2 linked regions of the Macaca mulatta genome follow. The protein of the gene in region 1 purifies or fractionates together with the protein of each later gene. This does not show direct contact. Links are inferred from orthologs where the notes say so. Each region holds a gene or a part of one and is shown on either strand. Other genes may lie near its edges.

Region 1 (3,511 bases):
GGCACATGAGCGCGCTCAGCCCCCTCGCCATGTGATGCCCTGCACTGCACTCGCCATGTGATGCCCTGCACTGCCTCGCCTCAGGACTCTGAGAGTCCCCACCAGCAGGCAGGCCCTCACTAGGTGCAGCCCCTCAACCAAGACTTCCCAGCCTCCAGAACTGTAAGAAATAAATTACCTAGTCTCAGATATTGAGTTATCACAACAGAAATGGACTAACACATATGGGGGCAGCAAATACCAAGAGAATCCCCTTACCAGTGTCTTCAAGGGCTTTGAGTTCACATCAAAAAGAGACAGTGGAAGGGTAAGCATGCTGCTGTTTCTGCTACTCTCCATGGCACAGTCGAGGCAAATCAAGGAGTCCTTCACCCGGATCATATACAGGGCCTGCAGCCTCTCCACCTGCAAGAGGGAGAGCAGAGAGGTGAGATGGGAACACCACCATAAGCCAGGTCAGGCCAATTGCCAGAAGGTGGAGCCAAGAGACAGAAGCTCTAGAAATGGTAGCCACTAATGCTCTTTGGCCTACTCACAAAGGTGCAAAATATTACCAGTAACAATATTATGAAACTGTGATAAGTGTTTTATGTGGATTAACTCTCTTATTCCTCTACACACTACAGGAACAACAGCTGAATGAGTTAAATGAGCAGCATCTTAAGCTTCCGAGTGCTCTGGTTCTAGGTTCTTACCAAGTGCACATCAGTGATCTGGTCCTTGATCAGGTTCCAGAGTTTGAGGTAGAGTTGGGCGGCATCATGCTGGACAAACACTAGCCACAGAGAAAAGGAACAGCCAATTAGTGAGGTCTTCAGAGTCACTTCTCATGCCCTAGTATCTAGACATACATGAATACTCACCATTTTGTCTCTTCCTAGCCCTCCACCCCACTGCAAGGCTAAGTTGGCACTATATAAGAGGTGATCAATAAACGAACAGTAAGTTTGGTATTGATTTTTGAGAACGCCTCTTGAAACTTAAGCTCCAGTGCCAGGTGTAGTGACTCATGCCTATAATCTTAACACTTCAGGATGCCAAGGCAGGAGGATCGCTTGAACTCAGGAGTTTGAGACTAGCCTGGGCAACAAAACAAGACTCTGTCTCTATAAAAAATTTTAAAAATTAGTTGAGCATAGTGGTGCACACCTGTAGTCAGAGCTACTTGGGAGGCTGAAGCAGGAGGATCACTTGAGCCCAGGATGTTGAGGCTACAGTGAGATGTGATGTCACCACTGCACTCAGCCTGGGGAATGAGATGTCCACAGGGACTTTGAAAAGCACTGATACATTCCTGAGGATCTAGAAGGCCAGGCGCATGCCCAAGTAAGACCTGAAAGGGCTCCAATCCCTCCCCTCTGGCTGACCACAAGGCCACGTGCAAGAAAGCAATGAAGGCAAATACAGAATCATAAACTGCCCAGTAACAATAAAACAGCAACAACAACAAACCCTGGTGTGGGCATCTCTGATGTCCAGTGTTGCCACCTTACATCATCTAAAATGTTCATTTTCCAACAAAAGAGACAAGACACACAATGAAACGGAAAAGTATGGCCACATACAGGAAGACAGCAATCAGTAGAACCTTTCACTGAGAAGCCCTAGATGTTGGCTTTACTAAACAAAGACTTTAGCTGTTATAATATGTTCAAAGAATTAAAGAAAACCATGTCAAAAGAAGTAAAAGAGCCGGGCGCAGTGGCTCACGCCTGTAATCCCAGCACTTTGGGAGGCCGAGGCAGGCAGATCACAAGGTCAGGAGATCGAGACCATGGTGAAACCCCGTCTCTACTAACAATACAAAAAATTAGCCGGGCGTGGTGGTGGGCGCCTGTAGTCCCAGCTACTCAGGAGGCTGAGGCAGGAAAATGGCATAAACCCAGGAGGCGGAGCCTGCAGTGAGCCGAGATCGTACCACTGCACTCCAACCTGGGCAACAGAGCGAGACTCCGTCTCAAAAAAAAAAAAAAAAAAAAAAGTGAAAGAAAGTACGAAGGGGGCCGGGCGCGGTGGCTCACGCCTGTAATCCCAGCACTTTGGGAGGCCGAGATGGGCGGATCACGAGGTCAGGAGATCAAGACCATCCTGGCTAACACGGTGAAACCCCGTCTCTACTAAAAATACAAAAAAATTAGCCGGGCACGGTGGCGGGCGCCTGTAGTCCCAGCTACTCAGGAGGCTGAGGCAGGAGAATGGCGTAAACCCGGGAGGCGGAGCTTGCAGTGAGTGGAGATCGCACCACTGCACTCTAGCCTGGGCGACAGAGCGAGACTCCGTCTCAATTAAAAAAAAAAAAGAAAGAAAGAAAGTACAAAAATGCTACCTCAACAAATAAAGAGTATCAATAAAGAAAAAACTGTAAAAAAAGAACCAAGCAGAAATTCTTGAGTTGAGGAGAACAATAACTGAAATGAAAAATGTACTAGAGGAGGTCAACAGCAGATTAGAGCTGGCAAAAGAAAGAATCCAGGCCGGGCGCGGTGGCTCACGCCTGTAATCCCAGCCCTTTGGGAGGCCGAGACGGGCGGATCACGAGGTCAGGAGATCGAGACCATCCTGGCTAGCACGGTGAAACCCCATCTCTACTAAAAAATACAAAAAACTAGCCGGGCGAGGTGGCGGGCGCCTGTAGTCCCAGCTACTCGGGAGGCTGAGGCAGGAGAATGGCATAAACCTGGGAGGCGGAGCTTGCAGTGAGCTGAGATCCAGCCACTGCACTCCAGCCTGGGCGACAGAGCGAGACTCCGTCTCAAAAAAAAAAAAAAAAAAAAAGAAAAAGAAAGAATCCATACACCTGGAGATAGGTTGATTGAGCTTCTCCAGACTGAGGACGGAAGGAAAGTTGAACATAGTGCCTCTGCAGCCGAAAAGCTGGTTAGCTGCTCACCGCATGTGCTGTTCAACTAACTCTGATACAAAAAAAAATGTGATACAAAAGAAGGCTTCATACACAAACGTGAATTTATTCTGAAGCCAGCTTGGAGGAAGGAGCACGACGCAGTCTGCCTTTTAATGTGCCATTTCTCCTTTGGAGGAAAAAGGGGCATTTTCATCAGGTGTGTTGTGGGGGTGAGGGGTTGAGCAATGGCGGTTTTCTACCGGGCAGTTATCATGTACCCAGCTGAGCTGGCACCTTCCTGGGCAGAAGTAAATTGTAAAAGTGGCCGAGTGGGCATGCTTTCTCCATGCCTTCCTAGTGGGTGAAAGACAAACCCCTAGAAGGTGGAAGTTTCGAGGCCACCCCTGGCAGGGAGGGTTCCCTGGTGGGTATGCTTGGGGCTGCAAATCTACTGCCAAGTCTCAGGAAAGATGAGCTGGAAGAACTTGCCCTGTTCTCAGTCAAACCTCCATCAGCCTACCTCCATTTACAGATTCTTCCTTTTGCCCAGCAGGGAATGTCTGGAGACGGGTAGGCGAAAGGTGATACTTGCATTTCTAAAGAGCTAACAGGAAACAGGAAACACGGCCATGGTGAGGGGTGAGGGATGGGAAGAGGAGAAGTGAAAAG
Region 2 (4,254 bases), on another chromosome or scaffold:
TATTTTTAGTAGAGACAGGGTTTCACCGTGTTAGCCAGGATGGTCTTGATCTCCAGACCTCATGATCTGCCCACCTCAGCCTTCCAAAGTGCTGGGATTACAGGTGTGAGCCACCGCACCCAGCCGGCCCCAACCTGTATTTTAATAGCTTCAGTAAGTGGGCCTTTGTGCTTTAATGGGAATTTTCTTTTCTTTTTTTTTTTTTAAGACAGGGTCTCACTTGGTCACCCAGGCTGGAGTGCAGTGGCATGATCTTGGCTCACTGCAGCTTTGATCTCTCAGGTTCAAGCGATTCTCTGCCTCAGCCCCTCAAGGAGCTGGGACTACAGGAGTGTGCTATCACGCCAGCTAATTTTTTGTAGAGATAGGATTTTGCCATGTTGCCCAGGCAGATCTCAAACTCCTGAGCTCAAGTGATCTGCCTGCTTCAGCCTTCCAAAATGCTGGGATTACAGGCATGAGCCACCATAACCAGCCTAATGGTAATTTTCAAACACACACTAAAGCAGAGTGACTAGTACAAGGATCACCATCCAGCTTTAACAAACTACTGTTTCCACTATCTTATTTCATCTATCTCTCTAATTCATTTATTTTGCATTTATGTGTTTGTTGTTTATATTTGTTTATGCTAAACAAATATAAGCATTTAAAGATCAGTGTTGATGTTAAGTATTTATTACAGCATGATCCCTGCTGACCCTGAAGCTTTTTTTTTTTTTTGAGATGGAGTCTTGCTCTGTCACCCAGGCTGGAGTGCAGTGACATGATCTCGGCTCACTGCAAACTCTGCCTCCCGAGTTGAAGGGATTCTCCTGGCTCAGCCTCCTGACTAGCTGGGATTACAGTCGCCCACCACCATGCCCTGCTAATTTTTGTATTTTTAGTAGAGATGGGGTTTCACCATGTCATCCAGGCTGGTCTGGAACTTCTGACCTCAGGTGATCTGCCCACCTTGGCCTCCCAAAGTGCGGGGATTAGAGGTGTGAGCCACCGTGCCCGGCCACCTGAAGCTTTTTTAGGAGCTAAATCTTTTTGGAGGTTAGGTAAGTACACCCTATAAACTGCCCTCCATATAGGAAGGAGGAGCTCCATGCTAGAAGACATCTAAATGCTATGCAACGGGTTGCTCAGTCCCTAAGAATATGACACGTTTATGACCTGTGAATCTTGAATATGATTATAAGTTATCAACTTTGTGAGATCCTGAAACTTCACTTAAATTTTTTTTGTTTTTTTTGTTTTGGCAGGGCACAGTGGCTCATGCCTGTAATTCCAGCACTTTGGAAGAGGCGGGAGGATCACTTGAGGTCAGGAGTTCAAGACCAGCCTGGCCAATGTGAAATCCTATCTCTACCAAAAATACAAAAAAATTAGCCAGGCATGTTGGTGGGCACCTGTAATCCCAGCTACTCAAAAGGCTGAGGCAGGAGAATGGCCTGTACCCAGGAGGCAGGGGTTACAGTAAGTGGAGATCACATCCAGCCTGGGAGACAGAGTGCGGTCTCTGAATCAAAACAACAACAATGAATTGGCTTTTGCCTGTCACCAAGCAGGCTGTGCCTTGCATCTTTCTCCCCACTGTTCCCTGCTCGCTGCCATCTGGTGTCTATTTAGGAAACTGAAACTTAAGCTTGTTGCAGCCTGAGCCTAACAAAACAGAATTCATGCACATTAGTGGTCTAAAAAGGTCACATGATTTTATTACAAAGTAAAAAGAAATGCTTGGGGTGGTATAGTCTTCTACTAACATGAATAACATCAGCTGCCCTTCTACCTCCAGCAGGAACAAGGGAAGGGAAGGATTGGGCAGGGGCTATTTTCATTTTAACCCTTTTAGTAGTGCTTGATTTTTAAAACTATGTGTCTGTATTGCTTTTATGATACAAAAAAATATAAGTTAAAAAAATGATTAGGTGGCCAGGCATGGTGGCTCATGCCTGTAATCCCAGCACTTTGTGAGGCCCACAAGACGGGAGGATGGCTTGAGCTCAGTCAGGAGTTTGAAACCGAGCCTGGGCAACATACTGAGATTCTATCTCTAAAATAATAATAATAATAATAATAATAATAATAATAATAATGAGGTCCCAATTCTTGAGGATTTAAGTGTCTGATATTAAAGGAGCAAGTCAGCAAAGATTCAAATATGAAAACAAAACAAAAAACCTGGTCTCCCCGAATGGATTGCAAACACTGAGGTTAAGAGCTAAAACAATTTTTTCTCATTATCTCTCACTCTTAAGCACATATTTTGCACTCAAGAAGCTTTTCTGAAATGAACTGAATTTTGTGTGTGACCTTAGGCAATGTTTCATCTTTCAGTAGCTTATACTTTTAAACAAAACAAATAAAGACGATAGATTTATCTATCTTTGTTTTTAGATTTATCTATCTTTGAACATCGTTTTTAGGTGAAGATAAAAAATAATGCAGAGCAGAGTAACGTCAGATACCGAACCAACAATGCCAGATTCCGGGTCTCGGAAGCTGCAGGGCAGTTTTCGGGGAGGGGCATTGGGGTTGGGGAGATAGGCTGGACAGGAGAAGATCGAGAACCGAGCAGGCGACAGACAGCTCCTCTTTCAACCTGGGGACAGAAGCTGCCCCCTCCAGGGCGTAACTCCTGGGGCCAGTCGCCCTTCCCTGGGAGGAACTCTCACTCTCACCCCCACCCCTACCTCAGCACACCCTCTCAGGGCCCGTACCTGATTAGGGTTGCAGTCCCCGCGCCCTCCACTGGCTCTGGTCGCGACTTCCCGTCCGTAGAAGGAGTTCGGGTACTAGAGCCTCAGGCCCCGCCTACAACTTCGGCCTACACCCTCGGACCCGCCCCCTTGTAGTTGGCAGCGGAAGTCCGGAGCGGCCCCATTCCCAGTCGCCACCCCGACACTGGCTGCCACTCAGTCAAGCCCTTCCCAGACTGCGAACTCACTGGCGCCGCCGCAACTACACCCCCCCGCGGGGCGGGACAAGCTGAGCCGAAACCACACCTGCAGCTCCAGCGATTGGTGGAGAAGTTCAAGTAGGCACTTTCTACGAGGGGAGGAGTCTAATTAGTGGACTGGCCCAAGACTGAAACAGCTGATTTTCGAGAACCCGCTCGTGAGCCACGGAACCGAAACTAGCTTGAGGAGCCTGTAGACGCCAAGGGCTCCATGGGAAGGGGTGGGACCGGAATTTCGACGCCTTGGGATAGGAAGAGGAGGGCTGAGGTAATGAAAACAGTATTTTTTTTTTTTTTTTTTTGAGACGTGGTCTCGCTCTTATCACCCAGGCTGGAGTGCAGTGGCGCGACCTCGGCTCACTGCAGCCTCGACCACCCGGGCTCAGGTGATTCTCCCGCCTCAGCCTCCCAGGTAGCTGGGACTACAAGCGTGCATAACTCCGCCAGGATAATTTTTTGTGTTTATTGTAGAGACGGAGTTTCGCCATGTTGCCCAGGCTGGTCTTGAACTCCTGACCTCAGGTGATCCTCCTGCCTCGGCCTCCCACAGTGCTGGGATTACAGGCATGAGCCACTGCACCTGGCTAATAGCTATTTATTGAGAGTACTGTGATAAGCACTTTAGATTAATTGTGTCATTTAAAATTTACAGGGCAACTCGTTGAAGTTAAAATCATTCTCTCCTTTAGAAATTTAAAAACTGATCTTAGTTCAAGAAAGAAGTTACCAGTCAGTGATCACGGAGGCTCTAACAAGTGGAGCCTAGATTCAAAACCAAACCCTCTGACTTCAACCCCCAAACATTTACGTTCCTACGTTTTACTGTACAGCCTTCCTCCTGAATAAATCGGAGTTTAAAATTTTGAAGACATGTATACAGCTTGTCAGGATATTAGATTTATTAGTTCTGTGGTTACTACCTTCTTTTATATCCCAAGACTCCCAGCCCCAGGATCTAAGTCATAGCTCTTGATTATGGCCCACCCCCAGTAGGGAGCTGAACTTACTACTTCTGATATGAAAGAAGCCAGGGTAGTTGTTTCTTCCAAGTCACTCACATCTGAGATGGCCCTCAAACCCTCCTTGGTGGTCTCTGGCTGAGAGATGTTTGCGTCTTTCCGATCTTGGTAATACTGGATCAACTGCTGAACCCCAGACCTTAATGCAGGTTTAAGTGCAGCACTGATCGCTAGACCCATAGGTCCCCCTGACATCCCGGCCATGGTCATCAGAAGGTCATATCCCAGATCTATGGCCCCATCTCGGCCTCGTTCCCTGGCCTTGCCCAGGCAGTTTTGAGTAGCATA

Evidence for each region. Proteins that work in one complex are often made in the same cells at the same time.
Region 2: the proteins of USP18 (region 1) and STAT2 purify together in Homo sapiens (affinity purification with western blotting; 6 studies listed by BioGRID and IntAct, with this or other methods). This does not show direct contact. The link is inferred for Macaca mulatta from reciprocal best matches to the Homo sapiens genes USP18 and STAT2.

What each region holds. Positions count from the first base shown.
Region 1 is NC_133415.1:33,903,754-33,907,264, forward strand, and holds part of USP18 (ubl carboxyl-terminal hydrolase 18), read right to left. Parts: intron 776-3,511; coding exon 696-775; intron 406-695; coding exon 259-405; intron 1-258. UniProt on the Homo sapiens protein: Interferon-induced ISG15-specific protease that plays a crucial role for maintaining a proper balance of ISG15-conjugated proteins in cells. Regulates protein ISGylation by efficiently cleaving ISG15 conjugates linked via isopeptide bonds.
Region 2 is NC_133416.1:63,528,700-63,532,953, forward strand, and holds the start of STAT2 (signal transducer and activator of transcription 2), read right to left. Parts: upstream 2,802-4,254; 5' UTR 2,709-2,801; intron 1-2,708. Other genes in the region: APOF (apolipoprotein F), read right to left, coding at 3,874-4,254. UniProt on the Homo sapiens protein: Signal transducer and activator of transcription that mediates signaling by type I interferons (IFN-alpha and IFN-beta).